Regions from separate parts of the Mus musculus genome. Here all the other regions are reported to be linked to region 2. The links are microRNA targets in miRTarBase. Many come from high-throughput screens and were not tested one by one. Region 2 holds a microRNA gene; each other region holds the end of a gene's coding sequence.
What was found. Region 2 holds the annotated microRNA mmu-miR-129-2-3p (AAGCCCUUACCCCAAAAAGCAU, at 1,731-1,752, opposite strand). A microRNA usually pairs through its seed, bases 2 to 8, with sites in the 3' UTR of a target mRNA and lowers its output. Matches are read on the target gene's strand: a 7mer-m8 pairs with bases 2 to 8, a 7mer-A1 pairs with bases 2 to 7 and ends in A, and an 8mer does both.

Region 1: miRTarBase lists Lrrc3 as a target of mmu-miR-129-2-3p. Seed matches in the 3' UTR shown: 7mer-A1 at 2,682-2,688.
Region 3: miRTarBase lists Klhl24 as a target of mmu-miR-129-2-3p. Seed matches in the 3' UTR shown: 7mer-A1 at 1,623-1,629 and 8mer at 1,556-1,563.
Region 4: miRTarBase lists Hsbp1l1 as a target of mmu-miR-129-2-3p. Seed matches in the 3' UTR shown: 7mer-A1 at 1,076-1,082.
Region 5: the mRNA of Ndufaf7 is a reported target of mmu-miR-129-2-3p. Seed matches in the 3' UTR shown: 7mer-A1 at 864-870.
Region 6: miRTarBase lists Lima1 as a target of mmu-miR-129-2-3p. Seed matches in the 3' UTR shown: 7mer-A1 at 4,297-4,303 and 8mer at 4,231-4,238.

What each region holds. Positions count from the first base shown.
Region 1 is chr10:77,896,301-77,901,374 of GRCm38, forward strand. It overlaps Lrrc3 (leucine rich repeat containing 3), which reads right to left. Exons shown (of 2, transcript NM_145152.4): 2 at 1,275-5,074. The coding sequence ends at 4,527. Among named protein-coding and RNA genes, the nearest start is that of Lrrc3, 3.7 kb to the right of the region's middle.
Region 2 is chr2:94,239,646-94,244,719 of GRCm38, forward strand. It overlaps Mir129-2 (microRNA 129-2), which reads right to left and starts at 1,808; the gene lies at 1,719-1,808. It overlaps Mir670hg (a long non-coding RNA gene), which reads right to left. Exons shown (of 8, transcript XR_003953878.1): 3 at 3,668-5,074. Mir129b (microRNA 129b) reads left to right here and starts at 1,733; the gene lies at 1,733-1,797.
Region 3 is chr16:20,122,407-20,127,480 of GRCm38, reverse strand. Klhl24 (kelch-like 24) reads right to left here. Exons shown (of 8, transcript NM_029436.3): 8 at 1-4,575. The coding sequence ends at 4,375. Among named protein-coding and RNA genes, the nearest start is that of Yeats2, 16 kb to the left of the region's middle.
Region 4 is chr18:80,226,249-80,231,322 of GRCm38, reverse strand. It overlaps Hsbp1l1 (heat shock factor binding protein 1-like 1), which reads left to right. Exons shown (of 5, transcript NM_001136181.1): 5 at 762-1,572. The coding sequence ends at 767. Among named protein-coding and RNA genes, the nearest start is that of Hsbp1l1, 18 kb to the left of the region's middle.
Region 5 is chr17:78,946,468-78,951,541 of GRCm38, forward strand. It overlaps Ndufaf7 (NADH:ubiquinone oxidoreductase complex assembly factor 7), which reads left to right. Exons shown (of 10, transcript NM_028611.3): 9 at 1-2; 10 at 408-1,585. The coding sequence ends at 623. Prkd3 (protein kinase D3) reads right to left here. Exons shown (of 19, transcript NM_001171004.1): 19 at 2,938-5,074. Among named protein-coding and RNA genes, the nearest start is that of Ndufaf7, 12 kb to the left of the region's middle.
Region 6 is chr15:99,775,674-99,780,747 of GRCm38, forward strand. It overlaps Lima1 (LIM domain and actin binding 1), which reads right to left. Exons shown (of 11, transcript NM_001113545.1): 11 at 2,795-5,074. The coding sequence ends at 4,624. Among named protein-coding and RNA genes, the nearest start is that of Cers5, 5.7 kb to the left of the region's middle.

The DNA of each region.
Region 1 (5,074 bases), not on the chromosome of region 2:
AAGTCCAGAGAGCTACAAAATTCCTCAGAATCCCAGGAAAGCAGCCGCCACCTCTGGATTCTGGAAAAGTCAAATAGATGCTGCTACAGAAGAGACCCTTAAGCAGGCAACTGCCTCTAGAGGCCTGGGGGGAGGGGCGAGGTGCAGATTAACACTCCCTCCAAAGACCACAGACACAGTGGGCCAGGAGTGAGGGATGGATGCAATGACAGGTGCATGTGTGCAGAAATGTAGTGCATGCCTCTAAATCTGCATGTGAGCCTGTGTACACTCACATGAGTGTAACAATATCTCTGTGTCTGTCTGGCTTACATGTAGTGGAAATGCATATGCATGTATTTATGTATGTGTGTATACGTGTGTGTGTGTGTGTGTGCACTTGCAGATTGTGGAAGCTCCTGGACTCCACTCTGGCTACACTGAAGGTTTCCTAGAAGGGACAAGCCAGTTTGCAGGGAAGGGAGACAGGCTGACGGGTGATGTGAACACTCTTTGGGTCTTCCAGCCACATTAACTGAAAACTGACTTGGGTGTGAGAGTGCTCCATGGCAGAAAAGCATTCTACAGAGGGAAAGAGATTGCATCCATTGTCCAGCCCAGAACCCAGAGAACAAGGCAGGATAGAAAGTAGGAAGGGATAACCCAGGCTGGTAGGTGGGTACCAGACCATCTGTGGGGACACAAAGTCTCCAGATAGGGCATCTGGAAACAGCAGTTGGAAAAGTTGGTGAGGCAGACAGGCGGGCAGCCGTGACCTCAGAGCAGGGATACAAAGCTGTCAGGAGACAATAAGCATCCATAGATGGTGAATCCCAAGGGCCATGGCCCTTGAGAAATCAAATCCTGAAGATTCAGAAAAGTTATCTTTGGCATGACAGTGTGGCCTAAGGATCATGGCTTTGTGGGAGCCACCCGCACTGTGGCTATCCGGGTGCTGCTGGCTCAGCCTGGAGGCCACGCTGAACTGTTCTCACACAGAGTGCTGTCAAATAATAACTGCTTCCAAGGATTATGAGGGTGGGATTCTGACATGTGATGTTTACCAATTTCCTTGGCGTCGAGCCTCTACGTGGTCAGATTCAAGGCACCATGGTACAAGCTGGCTCCCAGAATTCCTGAAAACTTAATGACGGCCATTATGATCTAACTATGACAATCAGTTGTCTAGCTAGTTGAAGATGCCCTCCCAGCTGTGAGGACCTGCAGACAGATGTTGACACGGTCGTGAGGGATGGGTGTCGGCTAGAATTGAAGATGACAGAATCCCAATCAGCTTTCCTGCACAAAAAGTTTTATTGAGGGCTCACAGAGAGGCTGGGAGAGGACAGAATCAGGTTCGGGGCTGAGCTTCCAAGAAAGGCAACATAGAAGCCATCCTAGGAGCCTAGTCCTAGTCCTGAGAGCTGCCACAGGCTCAGAACATTCCATCTCAGTCTGTGACTTACCACCCCTCAACCTCTAACCCCACCCAAGGATTTCAATTTAAACCGTGTCTTAGGCAATCACATGTAACTAGTGGGAGGGAAAGTGCCCAAAGGAGCCAGTGGGTGGGACCTGGGATGATAGGTTTATACTGATGGGGGTGAGGATGGGGCAGGACACTGAGCCATGTGGCAAAAATAAAAACAACAAAAAAAAACCCCGCCCACTGTGCCTGAGGAACACTCAAGTCGGGGTGGGGTGGGGGTGGAGATGCGCAGAGTAGGGGAGGACTGACCCAGAGTCCTGGAGATCTAGAGGGTCTGTGCAGAGTTGGGGGAGGAGAATATCTCATTCAAGGAGAGAAGGAAGGTGAAGCTGGTGGAAGCAGGTGGGATCCAGGGAGAAAGACAGTTTCAATGCAACCATCCACATCTGCAAGTCTCCAGCAGAGGCTCCAGCCTCATACACTTAGCCTGTGAGTTGGTCATGGGAAGGAAGGGAAGGGTATCTATATACATGAATGAATGACATGGAATGGGACGACAGGGAGATAAGACTCTGAGGCAGCAGGGTTGGAAGCTTGGATGAGCAGGAGAGTGCTGAGGTCTCTGAGGTCCTCCTTATAGGAGGACAGGGCATGCTCTCTCCAGGGTCCATACTCTCCTGAGTCTCCCATCTCCTCTTTCCAGCAAGGGCTGAGCAGGAGCTGTATAGATGTGCAACCAGGTAGGGCTAAGCCCTAGGTTAAGAGCAGCAAGCCTGGCAGTGGGTTGAGCAGCCTGGGACGGAGCCCTACCTACACCGGTGTATCTAAAAGACCCAATAGGGTGTTTCTGGGACAAGAGCAGCTACAGACTTCACCACCAGGCCTCCACCCATGTTCTTTTTTGACCTGGTTTTGTCGATGGGACAGACATGCTGGATAGTGGCAAGCTCCAGAAACAGGGTCCCTCTACTGAGTAGGATGGTAGAAAGGCCGCAGGGGCCAGCTACCTCCCAACTTGTGCCCCTGCCTGGAAGCAGCTACCGTCCCCACCACATGGTAATAGGAATGCAAGCCATACCCTCTGCACTGGCACCTCCCAGAGTATGTGTCAGGCTAGAGGTGTCCCTGTCCATGGGACATACATAGATAGCTACTTCAGCACTGCCACAGCACCAGGGTGGTACCTGGTCCTTAATCCAAGCCCTCAGCTCTGGCTTTTTTTTGTTTGTTTGTTTGGTTTGGTTTGGTTTTTTCGAGACAGGGTTTCTCTGTGTAGCCCTGGCTGTTCTGGAACTCACTCTGTAGACCAGGCTGGCCTTGAACTCAGAAATCTGCCTGCCTCTGCCTCTCAAGTGCTGGGATTAAAGGCGTGCGCCACCACTGCCTGGCTCAGCTCTGGCTTTTTAACCTCTTTTCCTTGGCACAGCACCCTCCAGGGTCCAAATCATACAGCCCTCAGCACCTGCCTCCTCTGAACACTTAACTGGGTACTGGGTATTGAGCATGTCTGTGCCAATGGGGGCCAGGCAGCATCACAACGTTGACTGGTGTCCCTAAGGAGGCTGCTTCGAGGTTCCAATTCTCATGGGAATGGGAATGGTCCTACTAGCTCCGCCAGGGTCTGACCCTGAAGACAGTGTAGCTTGGCCCAGGGCTGTGGAAGAATAGTGGACAGCTTGGGAGCTCATCCAGGGCTCTGTTCACCCTGCAGATGCCAGGCATGGTGGCCCCACGGTCACCATGTAGGTGTGGGCATTCAGCAGTGGGGAAAGTCTGGAATTCATGAGTGTTTTTCTCTTCCATATACTTTTGCAGCTGACAGCCATGTAGCCTCAGGCAAGTGTGTCACATGGTGACAGAACTGTGGGTCACACTGACGGTAAGGACCAAGTCAGGCCAGGCCCCCAACATAGTCTCACCTTGCCCCTGCAGATCACAAGAAAATTCCCAGCACACACAGAAGCCACATTCAATTTCTGCTCAGAGCGGCATCTAGACCCTATACTCAGCACACACACACACACACACACACACACACACACACACAGACACACACACTATGCTCATTTACTTCTCCCAGATACTCGATGACGACATAGCTTAGGGTATAAACACTTATACAAAAGGACAGTAAATAACAAAACTGGAAGTCAAGTCTAGTTAGGTGGCTAGAACATCTACCCCTGAAGATGAAGTAATTACAGGTAAGAAAGTTGATCAGTGAGCTCTGGGATTTCAGCGAGGTGAAGAGAAGGTTCTTGTTGCTAGAGAAAAGCAGTTCCTGTTGACTGGCATGGCAACCTCAAACTTCAGTCCCTCCTCTTTCTGAAAAAACAGCTGCTTTAGATATTGGCAGTAGAAAGCAAGGCACAAGAGCCACCGAGGTTGACAGGTTTCCACTGCCCAGGAATGGATAGAAGTGGCAGAAGCTGAGGCAGCCCATAAGTGGTCTAGCAGCTGACACGGCCATGGTGAGCCCATGCTGGACCTTTCTCACGTTTCTCCATTTTCTCCCTCTCGATGGACTGACATTTTGGCACAAGGGCAACTAAAGAACTCCCAGGACAAAGGTCAGAGCAGACCAGTGCAGGCTGGACTTTGCACTGACCTCTCTGGAAAGGTCTAGATTGCCGGTACTTTGCTCTGGGAAAGGGCAAACATCTCTGTGTTCAGATGTACTGGGAGAGCAGGGGTAAACAGAAATGAGCCATTCCCCGGTGGCAAAACTGCTGGCGCCATCCTCCCTGCCAGGGCCCCCATCCTTGCGTGCACAAGTATTTACTTCCCACAGCATGGTGTGGGAAAGGGAGGTTGGCAGATCAGACGGCTCACAGACCTATACCACAAACAGCCTGGGTTTAAGTGGCAGCTGAAGCCAGCCTTGGCAAGGAGTTCCGTTTCTCTCGACCTCCATTTACCTACCCATTAAGATGGGCAAACCCCCCTCCCCCCGCTACAGTGTTAGGCAGTGGCTGCAGGGACCAAATACCAACTATGAAAGTGCTTTTTTGGGCTGAACAGCTGCAATGCACCTCCCTGGGGACACAAGAGCACCATCACCTCCACCTGCTGCAGAAAGACAGGGTAGCCAGGCTCAGTGGCCCACCGGAGGTGGGTGCTAGGGCACAGGGCTAAGAGGCTCCTTGGAGACTGGAGCACTAGGCAGGGACTTCAGGTACTCCAGGTGTCGTCTGGCATCCTCCTGGTTGTGGCGTACGTAGTACACTACGTAGGCAATCACCATGGTAAACCAGCCGAACATGGTGACCAGCATGGCGACATCGGTGGTCTTCCGGTGGGTACTGCAGAAGCTGGCACCTGAGTCCAGGACCTGGATCAGCGGCTTGCCCACAAACTGCTCCTGCGCTGAGGTGTGGCAGGCAATTTCATCCACGGAGTCCGGGTCCAGCTTTAGTTCCCACAGGGCCTCCTGCAGGGCACACTCACAGTGCAGTGGATTGTGGGACAGGCGGATCTTGGCACTCAACTTGCCCAGGGCGTCCTTTGGAATTCTTCGGATGCGATTGTGGGATAAGTCCAGCAGCCGCAGGCCCCCAGCCAGACCTGAGAAGGCTGCTGGCCCAATGGCCTCAATGGCATTATGGGACAGGTCCAGCTCCCTCAGCTGAGGCAGGTGTTGGAAGGCTCCATTGGGGACTCGGGAGA
Region 2 (5,074 bases):
CTCAGGAACCCCAAGGAGCCTGTGTTCAGGTTATTCGAGTTATCGTCTCTAAGGTCACCTCGATCTCAAATCTGGTGAATGGTCGGGCTTTTGGAGAGGGAAGGGCTTCCTGACTAGGGAAAGGAGGTGGGATACAGTAAGAAAAAGACAGAAGAGTAGGTGAAGGGACACAGTGCGAAGCTATTTTTAATCTAACGTGGCTTTTCTGCCTCTCCCTCTGCAGAGCTATCGCTCCACAGACGGCCCCAGGTGAGAGGCAGGAAGAAAATCCCCCCACAGCTTTTGCTCCCTCTCCATAGCATGTTCAAATCTTTGAGACCCTTTTACTCTTTCAGAAAATACATTCGGAGGAAAAAAATATCCTTTATCAGGGGAGAAGGACCCTGATTTAGCTGTGGAGTCTGGAGTTCTCGCATTCTGTGCCTTCTTACGTACTGAGCTAGCACCGGCTGCCTCTGTCCAGCATTCTCAGCATCTGCTAGCCTTTCTTTTCTTTCAGGAGGGGGTAGAGAGAGTAGAGCTTAGGTGGTTAACTATGGGACCCCCAAAATGAGTCAGAGAGTTTGTTGAAAGCAGAAAGGTTGGGATGCGGGGGGAAATTCAGGCCCTCCCCGAAAATGGGAAGCTTTGCAGCCCCGGGGTGTTGGGCTATCACATCCCTAGATACATCCTCTAACTGCTTTTCACCCCCATAGACATTTGCGTGTGTCTGTGTGTCCTTCTGGCCCAGTCCCTAAGGGCAAGGGTGTCTAGCAGTGTTCTTAGCTAGCGAAGGGCACGGGGCACAAAACGTGTTGAAGGCCTGATTTGTGCCACTTGTAACCGAAGTGGTCACGACTGCAAGGAGTGGAGGGGGAGGAGGGGGACCCACGGGCTCTCCCCTTTGCAGCTTGCCTCCCTTCCCAGGTCTAGGAGCCTCGAGTGGCCAGCATGGGGCTGCTGCCTCTGCCACTGCTAAACAACTGCAGCTCGCAGAAGCTCCTTCCCCGCGGGGTTTTCCCTAGTTTCCGCCTGTTTCATCCTCTCCTGCGCTACTTAGTTTTGAAAAAGAGGAGATGGGTGGGTACTGGAGCCTGCAACACGCCTGAAATTAGGTTGGAAGCAGGTTCAGGAAGAAGGCTCCGGGGAGCGGGCGGTGCCTGGGTGTTTTTCCCTCTTTTTCGGAGCTACCGGATTCACGGAGATTCATCTCACCTCCTCTAGATTCCGCTCATCCTAACCGAGGATGGTTAGGGCCTACCGCCCCTCCCTCAAGGGCTTCCCCTCCCCCATATTAGATTCCAATCCTTAGGGTCAAAAAAAAAATGACCGTAAAATTTCCTAAACTGATTCATATTCTAGGTACTGACTTGGCCCTATGGCCATGCCCCCCCCCCTTATTGTGAGTGGGGATATTTGGGGTGTGGGGTGTGGGGGAACGACACAACTTCTGTAAACTTTTATTACATTTTAGCTTCTTCTCACTTCTTCGAAAACACACGCACGCCACCCGCTCCAATTCCCCCTGTGGTACAAAGTCGACTAAAAAGTTGGGGGCGGGGGACATGTCTCGGGAAAGCGAGTGATCAAAGCCTCGCGGAGCGCGGAAAGGACGGGGAGGAAAGAGCTGATTCTTCCGTGGAAAACGGGGAGAAAAACTGGGGAAGTCTCGGATGGAGCCGCTTCGGGAAGGTGCTGGCTTCGGCGGTCGCTGGTAGCTGCAGTCACGTCGCCGAGCGCGCCCTCCGCGAATGCTTTTTGGGGTAAGGGCTTCCGGCTATTGAGTTATGTACAGCAAGCCCAGACCGCAAAAAGATTCGCGAAAGGCAGTCTACCCGCTTCTTCGGTCCGCCGCCACCGCCGCCGCCGTCGCCGCCGCCTTTAGCCCAGCATGTCTCCGAACCCCGAAGCCGAGGAGACTGGATCTCCCCGGCGCGCTCCACCGCGGCTCATCCTCCCCACCCTGCGCGCCGCTCTCCCCTCCTCGCGTCCCCAAACCCATCCCTCTCTCTATCTCCAGATCCCCCGACTCAGCCTTGCACAACCTCGAAGAGGTAGTGGAGAGCGATAAGGGTAGCTCGAAGGGGGACCCCGGATCCCAGAGCCCTGCCTCCACCCCTCTCGCCCTAGCACTCCAAGCCTCCGATCCTATCTAGTCTATCACCCAATTCCCCCATCAGGGTTCTGACAGCCCTGACTGCAAGGTCGTGGATCTCTGAGCAGGTACGATCCAGATTTCCCCCGAATCCCCTCCTATCCTCCCTAGTCCCCCAGCAGAGGTTCCAGCCGTGACTACAGGCGCTGCGTAAAGAGAAAAACTCCCCCAGAGCACTAAATAAATACAGACAAGGCCGCCAGCTCATTGGTGTGGACTAAAATCGTCACCCACCAATCAGAAGAGAGCTCACATTTCTTTTTTTTTTTTTTTTCCAGAAGGGGGAGGGAGAAAAATATTTCCATTTCTAATTATTCAACAAAACCTAGACTAGAACACATTAAAATATTGTTGTTCCAAAAGCTGTCCATGACTCCCTCCCATTCTAGCCCAGGTGAGGGGGTGGCAGTGTATATTGGGAAAGAGGGATTCAAGAGAGCGACCTCTTCCATCGGGACCTAAGCCAGAAGAACCAGACGGAAAATGACTGGCAAAGATGAACATAAAACAAGCTCAAATCCCACTCTAGTTGGCCTATTTCTAGAAAATTAGACCTTTTCGAGTCCCCCTACCCCACTCTGCCCCCCCAAAGTTCTGAATGTTCACTAAGAAGGGTGAAGTTTCTCCCTCCCCCAGAGCCCCCAACCTGTCCAGATCATGGTGTCTAATGGCCCATTTGCCTCAGGTGCCCTTCCTTGTTGCCCCCCCCTTCTGCAAAATATTGAGGGAACAAGAAAGGGTGAGCTGGGCATTGACTGTCACAGTGACAGGAGATTCCAGCATCTGCAGGAGGGAGGGGAATAGAGAGCTAGAGAGGAAGGAGGGGGCAAAGTCTCTCCTCTCCCCCCTCCTCCCTGCCCTTTAAGTCCCTCCCCCATTCCATCTAGCCTAACTTAAGGGGGATGCCCTCTTCTTTATGTGCAGGCCCACCCAAGTCCCAGTGCCCTCTTGCCTAGCCCCAGGGATGCCAAAGGGTGTGATTAAACAAACGCCTATCTCCCTTCCAGTAGGGGGTGAAAAAAAAAAAAAACTTAAGTCAGGGTGGTTACTACAAGCATCACAAGAACTTGGGGGCAAAAGTTGGGTTTTGTTTTGGCTTTTTCACTTTTTTTTTTTTTTTTTTTTTTTTTTTTTGCCATCCCAGAATGGACCTGCAGGCAGGTACGCGCGCGCGCGTACACACACACACACACACACACACACACACACCCTTGGCTTATCATACCCACAGAATGCATTTCTGGACCTGGAGCCTTAGTCTCCCAAGTTCCTGTCGGCCCACCCACTCCGCCCATTCATCACCCTCCTACAGCTCTGTGACCCACCCACCCTCCTACTGCATCCCCTCCGCTTGGCTCGGTTACGGAAAGACGCAAGCACACACCCTCCCCGCGTCTCAACGCCGCGCCAGAGGGGGCTACACAGTCTGCGCTTGCCTCTAGCGCAGGGCAATTGGGGAAAAAAGTTCTGCTCGGCCGACCGTTGAGCCTACCGACCACCAGGCGGCCAGCGCTGCAAATTCTTTCTCCTTACCTGAGTCCGGGGGTCTTGGGAGTGCATTGGTTCGGTGTGCTCTGCAGCGGTCTGGAAGCAGCCCTCTCTGGCCAGCCCGCTCCCCTCCTGCCCCTCCCCAACCCCCATGGGTGTTTGCCCAGCGGCAAAGCGGGCTCTTCCAGGTAAGTATATAAGTTACTGTACTGTGTGGGAGGGTCACGATCTTGATAATTGCAGCTTCCCGAGTTTAACCCGTGCGCTCCTGCCTCCCTCCAACTTGTTGAGGACTCGTTGGGGAGCCGGAGAGGCAAGCCAGCGCGGCAGAGAGCGCTGGCCCGGAGAGGGGCGGGTGTGCAACGGGCAGAGAGGGGACAGCAGCACTGCGCGCAGTGGAGTTCAAATGCAACACCCCCTGGCAGAGGTTTTCATTGGATAGGTCTTCCCCCCACCCCCGTTCACCCCTGGTTTGCACCCCCCCAACTCCATGTAGGGGACGTCTCCAGGCGAAGTCACGATTCCTTCTCAGTTCGGAATGAAGTGTGACTAGAGCCATGACGCAGCCAGCGCGCATTACTCACTTTTTGCAGTCACGACTTGGGAATCCGTGCTGGTTCCAACCAAAATTGCACCGCTACCATTGAATTATTTAATAGGATCCAGTTGGGGGGGGGGGGGTAAACTTGTGCATTGTGCCAGGCAGTGAAAACCGCAAGGGCAGAGGGCTGGAGGGACATAAGGACACGGAGTGCCCCCCCCCCCACTTTATGACTCTCGGAAACCCCACTGCCACGGCTCCACGTGTTGCAGGTGCCTTATTGCCCCCTTCCTCTCCTGGCAATTTCCTTTGCAAATGAGGCAGAATTTGTAAACACCACAACTTGTGGGGCTGAGAGGGGCGAGGCTTGGGAAAGGGAACTGGCATATCTACCCCTTGAATGAAGAGGAAGCCTAGGGGTGGGACATGAGACTACTAGCAGCAGCTTTGCTTTAAACTTGGGTTGTCAAGACAAAGTGTGGGTTGCAGCGTTATTTGGTAATTCTGCACCTCAGGAACAGCCCTTGTTACTATTAGGAGTTGAAGTCTCAGCCTCAGCCTCAGCCTCAGCGAGGAAATCTGCCCAGGAAGGGACCGCTTCTGAGCTAAAATTAACTCGACTCACCACCCTCTTTTCCCTCCAGGGACTGCAATCCGGTTGCCCTGTGCAGGTCCCTCACTCAAGGCGGGCCGCTTCCAGGTAGATAGAAGAGCTAGCTAGTCTCCTCTCGCTATCCTGTGCCCCCCTCCTCAAAGATCTCGATGTTCCTGTGTGCACGTAACCTTATTACAGACTGCAAGAGTGCTTTGTTTTCCCCATCGTGTACTCTTGTGGGTCAGTTTAAAGATGCACTATTACCCTGCTCCGAGGCGTTAATCAGTATGAATGTTTCTGTGTGTGTTACCTGCCC
Region 3 (5,074 bases), not on the chromosome of region 2:
GGCCAACTCTGACCTCAAACTGGCTCTGTTGCCATGGCTGTCCTGGAACTTTCCTGATCTTCTTGTCACATCTCCCAAGGACTGGAATCAGACATTGCCACCACACTCAGCTCTGTACCACTAACTCCAGCAAGACCAAATCGTTTTAACTAGTAATGTCTTGGGTTGACTATGAGGCAGTCCACAGGAAGCTTCCGGACATTATCTTGGTACCACATGAAGTCTGTAGGATGTATCCTCTCAAGACGTTAAAGGCACACACAAATAATCCAACTCCCGTTCTCTCTTCGTGTATGTGCATGGGCTCTCAGAGTGATTTTTAAAAATCTACTGTCAGATCAGGAAAAAGCAGCACACACCTGGGTTGGACAATGACAAAAGCAGAAAACCCACCTTTGTCTTTCCTGAGTTTCAAAATGGGGGTCTGACAGCAGATGCAGAAACAATTCATATTCACCAGGAGAGTGTGCCGGCTCACCAAGCACTGTCATCTTTCCAAGCAGAATGGATGTTTAACCACTGCTAGAAGTGAAATTTCTGAAACATATCCGTCTAGAGCCATCAACTAAATGGTGAGAGTGCTTTGCACACCCGATGGGTGACTCAGACAAGCCAATGCCCTCCCTGAGCATTTGGTCGTTTAAAACCTGATTCCAATGGAGTAAACACCTGGATCCCAACCGCCCATCTATGACAAACGGCTGTGGAGAACCCAATTCCTGTCAGTCAGTCAGTGTGGGAGAGTACAGCAGACAGGGAGGAAGTCAGGCCACCTTGTGGAGTACATGGAGAAGACTTGGAGGAGGATTCAAGTTCATGAAAATGTACACAAAAACCAACTGTAATTTCCTGTTGATTCACAAAACATATGACCTTTCCAACTGAACAGCCACAAGCGGTGTTTGCACGCTTCTCTCCAGGTCTGCTTCCTGGCCTTGTAACACTGTCGTTACACAGATCTCCAGGTCTGCTTCCTGGCCTTGTAACACTGTCGTTACACAGATCTCCAGGTCTGCTTCCTGGCCTTGTAACACTGTCGTTACACAGATCTCCAGGTCTGCTTTCTGACCTTGTAACACTGTCGTTACACAGATCTCCAGGTCTGCTTCCTGGCCTTGTAACGCTGTAGTTACACAGGTGCACAGATCCTTAAGACCAGATCTGCACTTTCAGATGAAATGCTTATTTTAGAAAATGGTCCTGGCTTCCTCTTCTAACTGCAGCTCTCAGAAGGCAAAGAATTGCTAAGAGTTTGAGGCTAGCACAGGCTACAGAGATCCTGTCTCAACAATAAAGAGTACTCTAGAAATGTTCAAATTTAGTCTTATGTAATCAAATTGTCTATGATCAACTAATTTTTTAATTTATACAAATTTCTGATAATTAAACTGCAAAAACCATTGGGTGTTTGTGATATATGTACACATCATACTATCTACATATAAACACACACACATCCTAACTTAGAGGCTCATATAAACATCACCTATCAAAAGAAAGTCTGCCAATTATGGGATAACAGAATGAAGATAGTCTGACTCTAGGATGGTTGATATAGCCCTTTTAATACATTTATTATACCCTAAAATTAATTATTTTTTTCAGGACATAGTTTCTCTGTGTAGCCCTGGCTGTCCTGGAACTCAGAAATTTGCCTGCCTCTGCCCCTCAAGTGCTGGTATTAAAGGCGTGTGCCACCACTGCCCGGCAAAATTATTATTTTTTAAACCAGGGCTTACCACTATTATTTATCAAGGATTAGCAAAGGTAAGTAATTAAAGGAAGTTAAAATACCAATTGGGTAGCTTTTAAAAGTTAATTTTCTAGGATTCAGGTACTTTCTGGTAACTTTTAATATAATTTGTAACATAAAAATTAATTTGTTTGAACAAATTCTGATTTTCAGGATTTTTTCCAATTTACTGCAATAAACATGAGAATATATGAAAGATAAACATTATAAGATACAAGTAGATAATACTTTTACAACAGACAAAAATACTAAAATACAAATTTACTTTGACCAAGTCTTTTATATATATTTATGAATGGACATGATCTTACAAATATACATGAGAATAACAATTATCATTTGTAGAATCCTAAGCATTTATAAAACACTTTTGTTCACACACTTAACTGTTAAGAATTTCTGAACTAAACAATTTCCATTCTCTAACAAAAGCATAATGCAGATACTTACTATAAAATTACAGTACACATACCCTCAGTTTTACATACATCTGTTGCTCACCTGACAGATGATTTTCTGCATTGTTTCTATAGCTATATCACTTATAATTTATGACTTGAAAACCATTTCCTAAGTGTATTTTTTAGCATTTTTCTCAGAATTTAGATTCCAACTAAGCATGACTCTTAAAATACATTTGTATTATCCTAAGATGAGGAAAAAGTTGTTTGCCAATGCTAGGTTTCTGATAACTGCCTGAATTTGAACAGAAATCGATTGACACCATTGTCATTGACAAGGAGTATATTATAGTGAGAGACTGGGAAGTTACACAGCAAGTCACCTGCTGCAGCCCAGGGCACTGGAAGTTACAATAATTAGTTGTGCTAATTCCTGCTGTATTCACTTATGTGTCTAAGAAAAATTTCACATTTCCCTTTGCAAACTGCTAAGCTTTACAAAATGGAGGTAAAAAACCTAGAGGGAAAAATTTAATAGAAATCTGAAAATGATGATCAGTATTTTATACAAATAAAAGAGCTCTCCCAAATAAGAGATTTCTCTCTGGAGACCGGAACTGCTGCTGGTCAGAGTTACAAGTGAGAGGCCCCACTGCTGTAGGATATTAAGGAATTAGACAACTCTCCTAGGCTAATAACTGCTCACAAGGCAGCGGAGAGGCACTCACAAGGCATCACACAAGTTAGGTCCAACTCTGTCAGGCTGGGTAGGAGCAAACCTGTTCTTGTTTTTCTTACAGCAGTATTGCAAATGCAATTTTGTCTTAAGATATATTTCTTTTATACACGTGTTCCTGTATGAATTTATGTGCACCATATATTTGTAGATGCCCAGGGAGGACAGAAGGTGTTCGATTCCCTGGAACTAGAATTGCAGAAATTGTGAGCTACCTGATAAGGGTGGGAACCAAACCTAGGTTCTCTGCAAGTGCAGGAAGTGTTCGTAAACACTGAGCCATCTCTTCAGCCCATCTGGTTTCTTTTGATGCACTTCCCAGATCCTGGATACAGGTCTGCACTACCATGCCTGGGAAACAGATCCTGAACACAGACACCTGCCTTGCTCTGTAAAAGGGATTTCAACTCCTATGTTAGTTTAAAGGAAAGAAATTCTTTAGTGGACGCACAGATGAGTCATTAAATACCCTGAGAACCAAAGTGGATCACATTTTTTTTTTCTTCAATAGTAATTTTAATTTTTCCTTAGGGACTAATGTATAATTTAAATCTCCTTACTTTTACATCTCCTACATCAACTCACAAAAAGTATTTAATATCAGAGAATAGTCTATAAAGTCATAAAATTTGGTATTTTATGGTAGCTGAATTGTCACTACACTTTTACAATTAGAAAAAACACCAAACAAAACCCCAAAAAGCCTTCAATAGAATTAACCAGTATGGATAAAGTCATTTCTTGGGGCTTGAGAGATGGCTCAGTGGTTAAGAGCACTGTCTGTTCTTCCAAAGGACCGGGGTTCAGTTCTCAGCACCCACATGGCAGTTCACAACTGTCTGTAACTCCAGTTCCAAGGGATCTGATCCCCTTCTACCAATGTACACAAAGTTAAATAAATTGTTAAAGTGAACGAATGAACAAAACAAACTCATTTCTTCCTCTCACAATGAATTCTAAACATTCTTAACATCAGGCAATTCAACCAAAAAAAAAAAAAAAAAAAGCTTCATTCATGCAATACTCTCTACATAATTGACAAAAACAGGACACACTCCTGAAAAATGGTTCACAAATCCCTATGAAGTTTACACTGGGCAGTACTGCCTACCCCACATAGTATTTCAAAAATGCCAAAGTATATTCATAGGCCAAATTATGACTTTTTTTTTTCAAAAGACAAGGCCTTATTGTGTAACCTTTGCTGGCCTAGAACTTGTTATGTAGACCAGGCTGGGTTCAAACGTATAGAAGTCTGCCTTCTGAGTGCTGGGGTAAAGGTGAGCACTGGTCTCACTCAACCAACCTCCCACCCCCAGTACAGGAAAGGATTTATGACTGCTTGAAATATTGGAATTTTGGGTCAGAAAGGCATCAGGATTATTTATTTCTTTATGCAAAGGAGTTGAGTTCTCACGTGGTCGTTTTAAAAACTTTCCTCTTGGATTGACGTTGGCTTCTTGTGTGAGGTATCCTGGGTTTAGTTAGAGCTTAAAGCACTTCTCATTGTATCTATGAATAGTTACACAGCCGTGGTAGGACACTGGCCTGGGCATTGCAGCCACTCCTGTGATGATACTTGTCGCAGGATCGTAACAGAGAATAGTATCTGTGGCTTCTCCATTTTCCCGTCTTCCACCCAGGATATAGATTTTACCATTACAAACAGACATACCACAGTTTTCCTGTTTAACCAAATATATAAAAAAACAAACAAAAAAACCAATTAACTATTAGAGATAAAGGATTTGACAATAAACTAAAAAAGCATCAACATGCATTAACAAAATATAAGAAAGGGAGACATAATATCCCTTTTGCCCAACTCCTGTTGTATGTTTGAGTGTTGAGATTTACATGAAGTGAATACTAAGATGAATTGTTACTAACAGAGGCCTAGATGAGATTGACAAGGCTTTCATTCCAGTATAGGAAATAAGCATTTAAAAAACCAGAGCAGGGCTGGAGATGGCACTGTGCTTAAGAGCATCTGCTGTTCTTCCAGAGGACCCATGTTCAGTTCCCAGCAGGCATTCTAGGGGATCCAACACTCTTTTCTGGTATCTGGGGCATGAGGGGAGGGGAGTACTTATACACATGGAATGCACACACACGTGTGTACACACACAGACACCTCAAACCATAAGGGGACCTGGTAAATGGGTTTCTGGGTAAAAGATGTTT
Region 4 (5,074 bases), not on the chromosome of region 2:
CTCCGGGGTACTGGTTAGTTCATAATGTTGTTCCACCTATAGGGTTGCAGATCCCCCCAGCTCCTTGGGTACTTTCTCTAGCTCCTCCATTGGGGGCCCTGTGATCCATCCTATAGCTGACTGTGAGCATCCACTTCTGTGTTTGCTAGGCCCCGGCATAGTCTCACAAGAGACAGCTATATTAGGGTCCGGCTTAGACCTTTTTTAATGTTTATTTAAACACTGTTAAAAATCTTCCAGATTAAAGACCTACATAATTAGAATACTTGCCCCGGTTTGTGCTCTCTCTTGGCTGGGGGCTTCATATTAAAAATCTGGCAACTATTGGGGAGACATCTTATACCCTTACTAAAAACCCTTATATTTGATGGAGTCATGTTTTATCTGCACAGTCTCTTCTGCATGCAGTAAATGCAGAATGTTGTCTAGAAGGTCCTGTCCCCTTCCCACCAGAGGACAGTGAGTGGTCAGTCATAGTGCCAGACCCTGGGGACCTGCTGCTGCTCCATCGCCTGAAAGTGCATGCTGTTCATGCAATCGGAGCTCTGGATACACTGTGACTCTTACCTGAATGAAGAAAGCAAAATCCATCATTTAAGAATCTCTCTGTACTGGATTTTGCCTCTATATAAATGTTTAACAATTCCTGGTAATTATGGAATTTTATTGGAAATTTCAATTGAATTTATTTAACTGAACATTAATTGATCGGTAATATAAGGGGTGTAAATAAACTAATCTCTTTCAAAATTCTCTTTCAGACCTGAAGATGTTAAACGAGTCACGTGGGATTGCTAAAACAAAAACTACACCATACGTCTGAGTAATAATAATCTATGCAGTATGAATTTTGATGTTCATTTAAATTTTTTTTGGACACTTAAAATTAAACCCAGGGCCTAAACTATAGGCAAGTGGCTACCAACGAGCTATACCCTAACCCACTGAAAACTAAAATTCACTTTAACAAATGAAGAACAAAGCTGGGCCATAATGGCACATGCCTTCAACCCCAGCACTTGGGTGGCAGAGGCATGCAGCCAGTCTGGCCTACAGAGGGAGTTCCAGGACAGCCAGGGCTACACAGAGAAACCCTGTCTAGCAAAACAAACAAAATGAAAAGAAAAGCAATAAAATAATAACATAATCCACAAGGTGACTACTTACCAATGACGAGACTTGTGAAAAAGGACAAATTATTGCAAATCACGGAAGAATGCACTCACTCTATTAGTTCATACCTAGTCCAAATTAAATTTCTACTTGGCTTTAAAAACGGTCATAGCCTTCTGATGTAGGTGCTTTTAGTTATTTTTATTTTTTGTATTTTGTATTTTTCACACGGTACTATTTTATCACATTCTCACCCTTCCCCTACTACTCTCATATCCTTCCCTCCCCATTCTCCCAGTTTCAGGATTTTCTTTCTTTCTCCCCACCTCCCCCCACCTATGCCTATATGCCTCTCTCTGCTTCCTGAGTGATGGCATCAAAGATGTGTGCCACCACCACCTGGCCAATGTTCTTCTAAGCATATGAGCCTGCTAATACATTTTTTATTTTTTAAAAAAACCTTATGTGTATGGAGGTTTTGCTTGCATGTATGCCAGTGCATCTGTGTGCCGTATTTGAGAAGCCAGAAGAGGGTGTTGGATCTCATGAAACTGGAGTAAAAGTTGGTTGTTAGTGCCCATGTGGCTGCTGGGAATCTAATCCAGGCCATTAGGAAGATCAATGCTCTTAAGCTGCGGAGCCATCTCGATCGTCTCATTTGTATCCATTTTCCAATAACTACTGTAGCTCCCTCCTGCCAGTCACTCCTACCTCCAAGACTCAACTTATCATAACCAGGCTAAGAAAACCCAAGGGCAACTGTTCTACCAACTGACAACCTCAGAGCTGAGCCAACTCAGCACATAGGAACTAGAAAAGCAAGCGGCTCCATAGCAACCAGACTGTTTCATCTCTCACCTTGGGGGCAGATGCTCCCCCCCCCCAGAGAGTTTCCCTGTGCCTTGGGGTGAAATTCACCCCACCAAGGAATCACTGCAGGACAGAATCAGGTCAAGATAATTCGATGGCTTCTTAGCCTTTCGAATAGTTACTCAAACCAGTGTAAAATAGCTGTTGTCATCTAAAGGGTCTTTTGTTTATTAAAAGGTATTCCTACATAATAGAAAGTTAAAGTCACCCCAATTCTACCTCTAATTGGTTCCGATGACACTTGTCCTATGGAGTTTAATAGATTCAGTTTTGTTCCCTATAATTTAATAGCCTATTTTCTTTATCTACCACAACGTTGTTCCTTGCGAAAATTCCACACATCGCCCCCAAGCGGCTGCCTAATATTCCAGTATATGGCAATAAACATCCAGGCTTCTGAAGGTTTGCTAGTTCTTGGACACTGTGATCATTACTTGATTTCAATGCATTATTAATAACGTCATTGTGAGAAATTACCCAACAACCTTCAGCAAGCCAGAAGCTTCACTCAATCCCCAGCATCCCACCAAACACACCTAAGGAAGGAAGTGCCACCCAATGCTCCCAGTGACGGTGGGCGTCTTCTGATCTTAAAACGTGCGCCTTAGATGGGATCATTCATGTCTGATGGTCTTGGTGGTTTGAAATAACGTCGGTGATATCTGACTGGGTGCTAAATTTCAAAGTGTCTTAGTCATAACTGTAATTTTAGCAGAGTCACAGGGGATGTTTGAAATGAGTCATACAGACCTGAGATTCATCAGCACCAGCATCAGCATCAGCATCAGCATCAGCACCAGCATCACAGAAACCAGGCAGTCAGTGGCGCATGCCTGCAATCTCTGTGACAGGGACGCAGAGGCAGGGAGATCATGAGTTTGAGGCCAGCCTTGGCACTGTAACAGATGCCAGTTCTCAAAACCAAGAGCAAACAAAAGTGAACAAACGAACCCCTCACAGAGTTTACATATCCATTGTCCCAGAAACGAGTCCTCACTGGCCTTCCACGAGCCTCTGTACATTTGTCCGTCCAGCTTACTTTCTGAACCCCGCCTTGGGGTTTAATTTAAAATTAAGGACCTGTGGGGGCTGCCTTTAATCCTAGCACTTAGGAGACAGAGGCAGGCAGGTCTCTGTGAGTTTAAGTGGCCTGGTCTTAGTGAGTTCTAAGCCAGCCAGGGTTACAGGGTTAGTCTCCAAAGCAAACAAACAAACAAAAACAAAAAAAACAATTATGTTTTTAATCAGTTGAAAAATTAATTTTGAGATGGGATTACCCACCCACCACCAAGGGATTGCCCCATACTTTAACCTCAGGTTGTGCCTTGCTCTGTGTTGTATCTGTCATGCCTTCTTTGTGGGTCCAGAGCAGGCAGGGGTGTCCACCCTCAGGGCTCCAAAATGGACAGCAGGAACACCATGTGTCAGGTCTGTCATGAATGCTCAAAGGCTGCACAGGCAGCCCACAGCTTTCTGTATCTTGCTGTTTGCTGTACTGGGCTCACCAGTTGGAACGTGGGCCTCTGGACCAACGACTCAGTGCTATGCAACAGTCACTGGACTACTTTCTCTGGTCTGTGCCTGGTGTGGCTTCTGAATAGTGAGTGCTGCAAGAGGTTGCCTCTCTGCTTGTATACACTGGCTACTTTGTATATCTCTGCAAACTTGATGGTGTTCTCCTTCTGACCCCTCTCGGTTTAGTCTTCATCTTGAGTAATTCCTGGGTTTTGCCTAAGGGGCATCCTGGAAAGTTTGGAGATGACTCTCCAGGTACAGAGAGAGAACCACGGCTGGCTTCAGTTGCATCAAGGCTGGAATAGGTGATCAAGGCACTGTTAAGCAGCCTGGGAGCACCAGGGAGGATGGTCAGTCACTGAGAGAGCCAACCAGGAGCATAACTTCCGTATCTGTGTCTGAATGTTTACACACCCCAGCTGCTGTGTTTATACACAGACCCAGGGCAGCTGTGTTTGGAAAGAAGGTCTCTAAGGAAGTAATTAAGGGTTAATGAGGTCACAAGGGCAGGCCCCTGATCCAGTAGGCCTGGCGTCCTCATAAGAGGCACAAAGTTGGCTCTTTCTCTGTGTGCACAGTAAGGAAAGCCCACGAGGACGCTGTGCTCCGCAAGCCAGTGACATGAAGCTCAACTCTCTCCGGACTTTGGACTCGTTCTTCCAGAACTGAGAAAACACGCTTCCACTGTTTAGTCTGTTCACTCTGTTCTGAGAGTCCAAGCAGGCAAAGAGCGAGAGGAACGATGTGGAAACAGACACTGCCTGCCACCCTGCTCTCCTAACATCTGAAAAGCTAGTGTCGATAAAGTATAATTCTAATTTCATGCCATTCACCCACACACAGTTCACAACGATAACCCTGATATCTGTGGTGCAAACACAGTTGGTTTTAGCACATGTTCATCATCTCAAAGAAACCCTGCAGCTCCATGCCCACTTCCTACCTCATGCCCATGTCCTAAGCAACCACCAACCTCTTTCTGTCCAAGGGGACTTGCCCGTCCGCACATTTCATGTGTTCACCCACTCATGGACACCTGGGCTTCTGCATCTTTGCTGCTGTGGGTATTCGTTCTGTTCTCTTGGGTCTATACCTAGGAGCGACAGCGATGATAACATATTGAACTTTGTGAGATAGCCTCACCAGCAACTTAGGACGACTCCAATTTCTCCATATTCTTCAACACTTGTTATTGCCTGATCTTATGAAAACCATCACCCCAGTGGAGGAGAGGTGGAATCGAACTGTGGTTGACGGCATCTCCCTCCTAAACGGTGTTGCATATTTCTATGTTTTCTGGCCATTTCCCCTTCTTTGAAAGAATGTTAGGGATATACTCAATGTCTGTTACATGCTAGGTGCTCAGATTTAAAACAAAACAACAACAACAAACCTAGCTCCTTATAACACTAAGATGCAGTTACTTCTATTTATCTTTAGCTCTTTTTGAGATATGGTGTCAGACTAGAGATATGGTGTCAGACTAGCCGTGGACTCCAGTCCCTTCTGCCTCCATCCCTCGAGGGCTATGATCACACATATGTGCCACCGTGCCCAATTTTATACCACGCTTTAT
Region 5 (5,074 bases), not on the chromosome of region 2:
AGGTAGTGGTTTATCTCAGTAACACTAAACCTCTTAATTTCGGAAATTATTTAAATTGAGCTACACTGGCGTTAATGCTCTTATAGCGAGCAGGCTTCAGGTGTAATTTTGCACAAGTAAGGACTGGGGTGTGCACAGCTTGCCAAGTTTCTATGTGAGGCTGATACGCCCAAGAAAACCACGTTCATGGGTATGAAATCATGACTCCTCTGTTGTTACGGAGCAGATCGCCTGGGATATCTGCTAACGATGCAGATGTATACATTTGGATCACAGCATCCTACAGTTAGAGGACACTGTGATCCCATCTGGGGAATTGCTGTACTGCATCATTTACATCATTAGTCCTGTGCTGGGGAATGCTTTTCTTCTGGTGATGTTCCTTAAAGGCCTTTCTTTCCGCTCAGGTTCTCTTGGATAAAGCAGGTGAGCCATCTGCGAAGCAGCAGCTACTTGGAGGGTATGATATGTTAATGAATCCTCAGAAGATGGGAGAAAGATTTCACTTCTTTGCCTTGCTACCTCATCAGAGACTTCATGGGGGGAGTCAAGAAAGGAATGCCTGCCAGTCAAAAACCCCCTCCTCCTCTGTAGCTGGGTTTGATGAACTTGTTTGGCAGTGATACTTCAGCTTGAACTTTTATTCCTCAGTGGGCCTTAAAAATCAAAATAAACAAAATTCACTTTGCATATTGAAGTAACATAAGTTTTCAAACTAGTATCTCTTTTCAGTCAATAAAAATAGCCTGTTTATGCTGGGCAGTGGTGGCGCATGCCTTTAATCCTAGCACTCGGGAGGCAGAGGCAGGCGGATTTCTGAGTTCGAGGCCAGCCTGGTCTACAGAGTGAGTTCCAGGACAGCCAGGGCTATACAGAGAAACCCTGTCTCGAAAAAACAAACAAAAAAACCAAAAAAACCAAAAACAAACAAAAAATAGCCTGTTTATATAAATACAATCAAAATGGTAGAATGTCAAAGGTTATAACTAACTCTTGGTATAATTGTTTTCAACCCAGTAAAGTGATTTATTGTGAAATTGTCTCCTTATCAACTTACTGTATTTCTATTTGATTTTTAAAAACACATATGAGCACTGATTGGTTTGTTAGAAACTGGAGATAAGGTAAATGGCTATTTCAAGTCAACAGATCTGGGTATTTTTAAAGGGCAAAAGCAGTCAGTGTATTCTGGTAGAAGGCTCTCTTAGGGTTAGTAAATGGAAGAAGTCAGATGTGCGTTTCTAGAGTTAAGATCCTGTTTTTGCTAAAGGAAAGAATTAACTGAGTACGTCAGTATAGACTTAGTTTCCTGTTCTGTGCACAAGTGAAGGAGGAGTAACTGGGAAGGAGTCGGCAGCTCTCCACTCTGGAAGCAGGATTCGGAAGGATTCCAATGCCTCTATGGATGAACGTAAAGAGTGGTAACACAAATATTAAAGACGTAAGAAATAAAAGTCATAGTTAGAAAAACCTGTACCAAATCTGACTTTTACTGAAATAAAAATTAAGAGTAATGTTAACTCTCCAGGAGGAGCAACTTCCTAAGCTGAGCTCATTCTCAGATAAATACACAATTTTAGCTGTGAATTAAGTTGTCTGTAGAACTTTCCTATTAATGCGGTGAATGGGCATCTGGGGACGTGGTTAGCAGCAGCAAGTCCTATGAGGGGCTTAGGTGGACATGGGATTAGCCATGGGATTTGAACTCAGGACCTCTGGAAGAGCAGTCGGTGCTGTTAACCACTGAGCCATCTCTCCAGCCCCCATCACTTATTTCTCTGTTGCTGCTTCTGCTTAGCTGAGAATGGCATTAACATTCTGTGTCTTGGTCTGTAAGAAAAGAAGGAATGACGCCATATTTAATTGGTGTGCTATGCTGTATGCACACTTCAGCCACAGCACCTACAGTTTTTATACGTACCCTGTGACTAAATTTAGGGCATTGCATTTACACGTGAAGGTTTATAGCGGGTATTTTTTTTTTCTCCATTGCTGTCCAACTTTGTTTTTGAGACAGCATCTCTGAACTCAAAGTTCCTTAATTTGACCAAAGATTGCATCCCTGCCCCTTCTGTAGCAATGTCACACTGGGTTACAGGCATGTAACCCCATGGGCGCTGGGGAGCCAATCTGAAGCTCTTCTGGTTTGTTTTTTGTTTCTGTCTTTGTTTTTAAGATTTATTTATTATATGTAAGTACACTGTAGCTGTCTTCAGACACTCCGGAAGAGGGCACCAGATCTCGTTATGGATGGTTGTGAGCCACCATGTGGTTGCTGGGAATTGAACCTTCGGAAGAGCAGTCAGTGCTCTTAACCGCTGAGCCATCTCTCCAGCCGGAGCTCTTCTGTTTATGCAGCAGGGACTTTATCTTCTGAGCCCATTCCCCAGGCTTATGCTCCCAGCCTTAGACCATTCCTCATCGCTCTGTTCTTCTTTTCTATCTCTAAAGCCACCGTTTCATGTCCCTCTCCCCCCCACAAGGACCAGGCTAGAACATTTGAAAGAAGTAAATACTGACAGTTGGCTCCTCCCACATACAGAATTGGTTTCACTTTTTATAATTAAGAGGGAAGAGTCTAGTAGTGCTTTCTAGTCTCAAATTCTAGAAATTTGATTTTTCATGAGACCTTTGATTTTTCTAAGTCTTTTAGTAATACCTAGGATAGTCGCTCAAATATTTAATTATCATTATTCTTTGTATTGTATTCCAATAAATGAACCCTCTAGATAATTATCTCAAATGCAGTATACACCTGAAATGACTTTAAAGGGTTGTCTTTCACAGAGGATATATAAATATATATGTGCTCATGTAGCATTGGCTATATTTACAAAAAAACTCCTGTTACTCAGGCCCGGGGAAAATATTATAACCAAATACAACTCTCTTGAGATCCTTATACTAGAGATGGTCTAAGGTTTTCACATAGGAAAGTATGGTGATAGAGAAATACATTTTATTATCAAGTTTTGAGAATATTTACAAAAAGTGGGATGTAACAAAAAATATAAAATGTACTAAACAGTGTCATTATACACTACTTTGAAAATTGTCACATGTTTCTAAGAAACAATTACTTTCATATATGCAAACACAGCTTGGCTTTAAGACAATGACAAAAAGTTATGCAGGTTAAACAGTGGAGTGGTTACTCAACTCCGCACCGTGACAGCGCCTTTACAGTCTCTCTTTAAACAGCACAGGGCTTTGACAAAAACAGAGTGCAATTAATGTCATGGCTTGTAAAGTCTGATTACAGAAGTACAGCAAACCAGCAGTCATTTCAGTTAGTTCTCACCTCCCATGGTAAAACCACCGTGGGCTGCCTAGTGACACACACGAGTTCCACCTTGTACATACTGGTCAAGCAGACTTAGCAGAAATGGAAAAATCCATTCTTAGAAGTTTCTTAAAATTACTCTTCACAACTACTGTATGAAAACAATTACAGAGACAGTTTGGAAAGTCTTCTGGAAATTCTTACAGATGTACAGTACATTGTCAATGGCTGGGACGGGTAAAGGGATTGGGGATATAGGCCTGGGTTTAAATCCATATTTAAACTCAATGCACTTTGACAACTAACCCTGTGCCTCAACTTTAAGTGTGCTTAGTCATGTGACTATTGTGAGGACAGTTCAAAGCATAAACATTTACAACCGGGCACCCCTGCTGTTTCTGTCACCTCAAGAACATTTTTAATTTTAGACAGATCACTGCAGCTGCATTCTCATCTGGGATGGCACTTAGTTTTGGTCTGCTCACACACACAGTTTTTCCTTTGCTATCTCAGAGCCCGTGGTAAGCGACAACCCTGGCATTCCAGATTGTCACAAGTGGTCACATAGCCCAATCTTCACAGCCACATGGAGGAAGGCAGAAGGAAGAATTTATGGTGTCTACTCTACAGACTGAGAAACTAAGTCAAACAAATGCTCAGACAATGTTATCTGCTCAGCCCCACAGATCCACAGAGTAAAGACACTTAGGCTTAAACCCAGGCTTTCTCATTCCAAATTCTTGCTCTCAGCACAGAAAAGGAAAAACAACAAGAAAAACCTGTTTTGTTTTTGTTTTGTTTTTTTTTTTTTGTGACTAGTGAGGAATGAAGAAACAAACAGCTACTATATTTCTTGTGAGAGGATGGTCCTGGATCTTTTTCTCTTTGGGTAAAGCACAGGTGGGAATATCACTAATGTGGAAATCTGAAGGACTCCAAAGTTTCTTGAATTTGGAGGATTTCGGATTTGTAGGTCAGGGATGCTCAACTAGTAGAGTGTGCAAACATTTCAGTATCTGGCAGTGAAACCTTCCTGGTGTAGAGCAGCTCAGATAGGGATACTGACCTTGTATTAATAACTACTACAAAACAGCTGGCTGTTGGAGCTGAAGTGTAAGACGTTCTTACTCCTTCTCCATCCGCTCTACTGGTAATTAGGTCCCACCTCAATAAACTAAGTTTTCATGTTTGACTTCAGTCACTCCTCCAAACTGCTCAAACGACAATGCTAATTTAAAAACACTAGGTATTGGAAACCCCATCCAAAGGCCAAGGGAAGAGGAAACAGATAACAGTGACATCTACTGACCTGTGTTAGCTTCCCTCTCTAGTATGTGATTTTGTCTATACATTATTCAACTCCAGGTGAGGATAAATTAGTTAAATGCAGCGTTGTGCCCACCGACTGTGGCATACTGTAACATGATGGTGCCAATTGAGAACATACGTGTTCAGAGGCAGAGCTGAGTGATGACCAGCTATTTCTATTCATTTGTAACACCAATTGTTCGATTATCCTAGTGACTGTTATAACATGGAAAATGTGACAACTCTTCTGTCATACAGGCCATATGGAAAGACGCATCCACCGGAAGGCCAGCAGTACAATGGTCTGCTTATCGGGTCCAGGAAGGAGGAAGCAATGCCTCCGACAGTGGACAAACACTAAAGGTCCTTACAGCAAGCTGTATGCTGTTAGCCTCATGGTTACTGCTTAACTGCAAACCTGTTGAGTAATCAACCTTATAAGCAATAACTAGACAGTCATAGGCCTTTAAAACAAATGATGTA
Region 6 (5,074 bases), not on the chromosome of region 2:
TATGAACAGCTATTCTGGGCCCATGAGGTTTTAAATCTGAGCACGAAGAACATGTCAGCTGAGCATATGGGAACCAGTATACAATGAATTTGGTCTAAGATGCTATTCAAAATTCCCCCCAAATGTGCATGTAGCAATTCTTAACATGTTTACTGGAATCATTCCTATTGAAATAGGTGATAAAGTGAGAGAAGCTGAGGAATCCACCTTTTCCTAAGAGCTAGGAATTAAACGTTGCTAAACAGCTTTAATAATAGGCCCTTTTGTAAATACTCTTTAATATTTACTTCAAATAAGCCGAAGTCCTAAGGACCAGCTTCAACTGACAGCTGCCAGACCCTCCACTCGTGCCTAGCTGCCTTGACTTAACCAAGAGCCAATAGCCAAGCCTCCCTTCTTTGACGGTCAGCCGAGCAGTCATCATGCCATCCTAGCACTCAGGAAATGGAGGTAGGTGGATGTCTCTGATTTCAAGGTCAGCCTGGTTTACATAATAAATTCTACACCAGCTGTGGCTTACATTGTGAGATAACCTCATCTCAATAAATAAATATTTTTCAAAAATGCTCTACATTCTAGAGTACCAAAGATTAAGATCTAATATGCAGAGACTGTGGGGAGATAGCTTGGCTTGGCAGGTAAGAGTACTTGCTGTTGCTGAGGAACCAGGTTTGGTTCCTGGAACCTACACAGTGACTCACAAACACCCATAACTCCAGTTCCAGAGACTCAGATGCCCTCTTCTGACCTCTGGGACATGAGGTACTCATGTGGTACACACATATGCATATAGGCAAAACATTTGTACACATAAATAAATCTAAAAAAAAATTTAATGTGCAAATATTCAAGTTTTGATTCTCTCTATAAAAATAAAACCCATCTGATTAATATACAAATTTACTCTCTGTATACCAGAGAGCTGTTTTAAATATTTTGGGCTGGGGAAATCGTTCAGTGGAGCACTGGCTGCTCCCCCAGAGGAACCAAGTTCAATTCCCAGCATCCACACAGAAAACCACAAGCATCTGTGATTCCAGTTGCAGGTGAGCAACGATGCTGCCGGCCACCATGGTAACCAGGCACGCATACGGTGCACAGACACACATACAGGCAAAATACCCATTCACCATAAAAATCAACATTTCTACAAAAACGAGTTGCCTCATAATTTACTATCGGTACATGTTTTGTTTGTACACCTACGTCGTGTGCCTGTATACCTGAAGTCACATAGTAGCGTATTGGGAGAAAACAGCTCTTGAGTGGGATATACAAAGCCCTGATCAACAGCAGACTGCAGGAAGTCAAGAACAGAGGCAGAGAAGACGAGAGATGACAGAGAAGCTGAAACTGACCGAGGGTGAGAAGCTGTGGAGGGCAGAGGTGAGACTTCGGAATTATAACCCTGGGCTGATAGGAGAGTTTAAGAGTTGGGCATTGTGGCTCACACCATTAATCCCAGCACTCAGGAGGCAGAGGCAGGCAGATCTCTGTGAGTTCAAGGCCAGCCTGGTCTGTAGAGCGAGTTCTAGGACGTCCAGGGCTACACAGAGAGGAAACCCTGTCTTAGGGTGAGGTGAGGTGGAAAACTAGAGAGAAGATGCTGGGTGACCTAATAAATAGATTGCCCCAAAGCACACATCTCTCCGAAGAAATCCAATCATAGGAAACTAAATAAAATTTCTAAGATGGTCTTTTTAGGCAGGGTCTCTCTTGTAGTACAGGCTGGCCCCACACTTCCGGCCCCACGCTGGCCTCAGCCTCCCACAGGGTGGGTTTACAGGCGTGCCACCACTCCAACTTATTTTTTAATCATTTTTTTGTTGTTGTTTTTTGTTTTTTTTGTTTTTTTTGTTTTTTGTTTTTTGAGACAGGGTTTCTCTGTGTAGCCCTGGCTGTCCTGGAACTCACTTTGTAGACCAGGCTGGCCTCGAACTCAGAAATCCGCCTGCCTCTGCCTCCCGAGTGCTGTGATTAAAGGCGTGCGCTACCACGCCCGGCTTCTGGCTTGTTTTTTAATCCTTATTTAAGTGTATATCTGTGGATGTCAGTACAGGGTGTCAAACTCTGTAGAGCTGGAGTTCAGATTCTTGTGAGCCACCACGAGGGTGCTAGGAACCAAACCTGAGTCCTTCAGAAGAACAGCACTCACTCTAAAATTCAGAGCCAACTCTCCAGCCTCTTGATCTGTTTGAGATTGGGACTCACACTCTGTGGTTTAGGCTGGCTTCCAATTCAGTAATCCTCCTGTCTCAGAGGCCTCCTGAGTCCTGGAATTACACGCATGGACCACCACCACCTTTGGTTTTCAGGCTATTATTGAAACCACGAATCAATGGCAGCAGGAAACACTTGGAGAAGTTGATTCTATAGAAGAAATCAACCAAACGCGCTCACACCCAGAGCGAAGAGCGTGCGTCTTCAGCAGAGATGGCTGAAAATCCTGTTTTGTGTCAGACACAATCATAAGGTAAATTAGTAAATGCGGAATGCGGTAAACAGTAAAATCCGCCACTGGAATTTGAATTGGTAAAACAAACAGTTCATTTTGAATGCACACACTAATTTTCTTGCCAAATTACTTGCAGCCCCCCAACTCCCAAAAAAGTCTTTAGGGTAGATGAAAAGTGCACAATTCGGTTCTACATTGCCATCTAGTGGTCAAATGAACTCACAGCATTTTCCCCCTAAAAGCTGCTCAATAGAAGCAGGTTCCGAGAGACCCTGTGTAAAGAGACGGGAATAAGAGCAGTGTGGAGGAGACGGGAATAAGAGCAGTGTGGACACTGGAAATGTAAATTAAAAGCTTTATTGAATAAAAATGTTTTAGGCTAAACAAGGCCATAAGGAAACAGATTATTTTACATCTCTAAAACTGAGCTAAATCTCTACAAATGCAAAGAGGCCACTACCTTAAGCCCACCCCGCCATACACATCATTTGGAATATCAGTTACATACAAGAACTGCACTCGTTTATAATATTCTAAAGCCTTAATACCAGAGAAAACCATCTATCCTCCTCTGGGTTTACCAGCCTCACACAGAGTCACCTGGATGTGGGACTCAGCTGATGAACCGCCTCTAACCGATGCACCTGTGGGCCTTGTCTGTTTTTGTTGTGAGCAGTGTCACCCCTGGCCAGGTGGCCCTGGGTGGTGTAAGAAAACCAGTTGAGTAAGCCACAGAGATGAAGTCAGCAAGCAGTGTTCCCACACGGTCTGCATCAGCTCTTGCCTCTGGGTTCTGGCCTCGCTTCCCTTGACCATGCTGCGTGCGCGCGTGGCCTGTGTGTGACCCGTGGCCTGTGAGTGGAGACAAACCCTTCCCCTCTGAGTTGCTCCTGCCCAGTGTTTTATCACTACAATGAATCAAAGTAGGACACGGCCTAAGAAGACAGACCTAAAAGTGATTTAATGCAACCCTGGAAGAATTATCTGGCCTAAAAATCAATACATTTCAGAGCCAAGATTCGCCTCGACCTGAGGCTTCCCAGCTCTGATCTCAGGTTGTTTTACTTGGAGCATGGTGAAGCGTGATCCAAAAGGTCTTACAGCAACACTGCAGCTTTCCGCAAAGTGCGAGAAACCACCAGAAGAGATGGCAAACACCCAGAGTGCAGGGAGACACACTGGCATTCGCCACTGATTATCTGGGTACAATGTCCGTCTCTCCAAACACCAAAGTATATAGGTTGGTTCTCTGTCTCGCAGGTGTTTGTGAGGTTGGTTGTATTTTTTTTTTTAACTTGTTTCTTATTGTTGATGATGGGCACGTGTGGACAGCTCTGTGCAGTCTGCTCTCTCACCTTTACGTAGGTTTTGGGGATTGAACACTGCTGCTCCGGCTTCAGTAACCAGCGCCTTTCACTTGGCCAAAGGTTGCTGTTTTGTGCCTCAGTGATTAAAAATACAGGATGTAGGATGAAAGACAGTAAGCTTTCCCTATCTACCAGAGGAAGAGAATGCATTTCAAAAGCTTGAAAGACTAAATATTTGATTTTCAGCAATTGAGTACTAAAAAATGAAATTGGTAAAATAGCTACACTGTGCCCTTTATACTAAAGTGCCTCTGGTCATGAGGTGGGCTCCTAAATGTGTTGTGTGTGTCTCTAATTCCACAATGGTCTCTGTAGTGTGAAAACAAGCCTCTAAATATCTAACCACACCAATCTTGATTTGGGGAATGCAGTGGATGGCAGGCAGCATCAGTGAGAGAAATCCCTACTTAGCCCTTCCCTGAAAAAATGGAGGGATTTGTTTGTTTGTTTGTTTTGAGGCAAGGTTTCTCTTTGTAGCCCTGGCTGTCCTGGAACTCAGAGAGACCCACCTGCCTCTGCCTCTGCCTCCCGAGTGGAGTGCTGGGATTAAAGGTGTTTACCACCACACCAGGCTTAAAAGATCACTGGTGTTTTGACAATGCGCTTAGAATTGGTTTTGGGTGAGTTTGTTTGTCTGTTTTGTTTTTGCTTGTTTTTGCCCTGTTTTGCTAGCGGGAATTCATTTCCAAAGTTGCTCCCACATGAATGACCCTTGGCGCCAAGCTGCCTGTTTCTGCGCACCACTTGATAAAGGGCAGTGAGTTGCTAACCAAAATCTAAGGCCAGAACCATGGCGGCCGGTCATTCTTCATCCTCGTCCTCATCATAGTACCGGTTTCTCTTTATCTGTTCCTCCACAGACAGCTCTCGGACCACTTCTCCCTCCCAGAACCCGACATCTTGGGATTTTTGATTCTGGGTAGTGAATTCTTTAGCAGCCGTGGTGTCTACAAAGCCAGACCAACCCGGAGCCTCGGGTTCTAACGGGGACTGCTGTGCGTGGACATGGTTGTCATCTTCAGCTATGTTTGCTCCATTTTCCATAAAATTCTCACTCTCCAGCTCAAAAGAACTACGGTCCTTGCTCCTCGGCACTTCCTCGCCCTGCCAGCGTGATTTTCCCACATTCTCTTTCTCCCCAGAGGGTCTGGCATTTTCCGTTTGTTTCCTTTCCATCGTCGCTATCCCTCCTCCAAACTCCTCACTCTGCTCGGACTCGCTCCAACCTTTCCTGAGAGATGGCGAAGAGGCC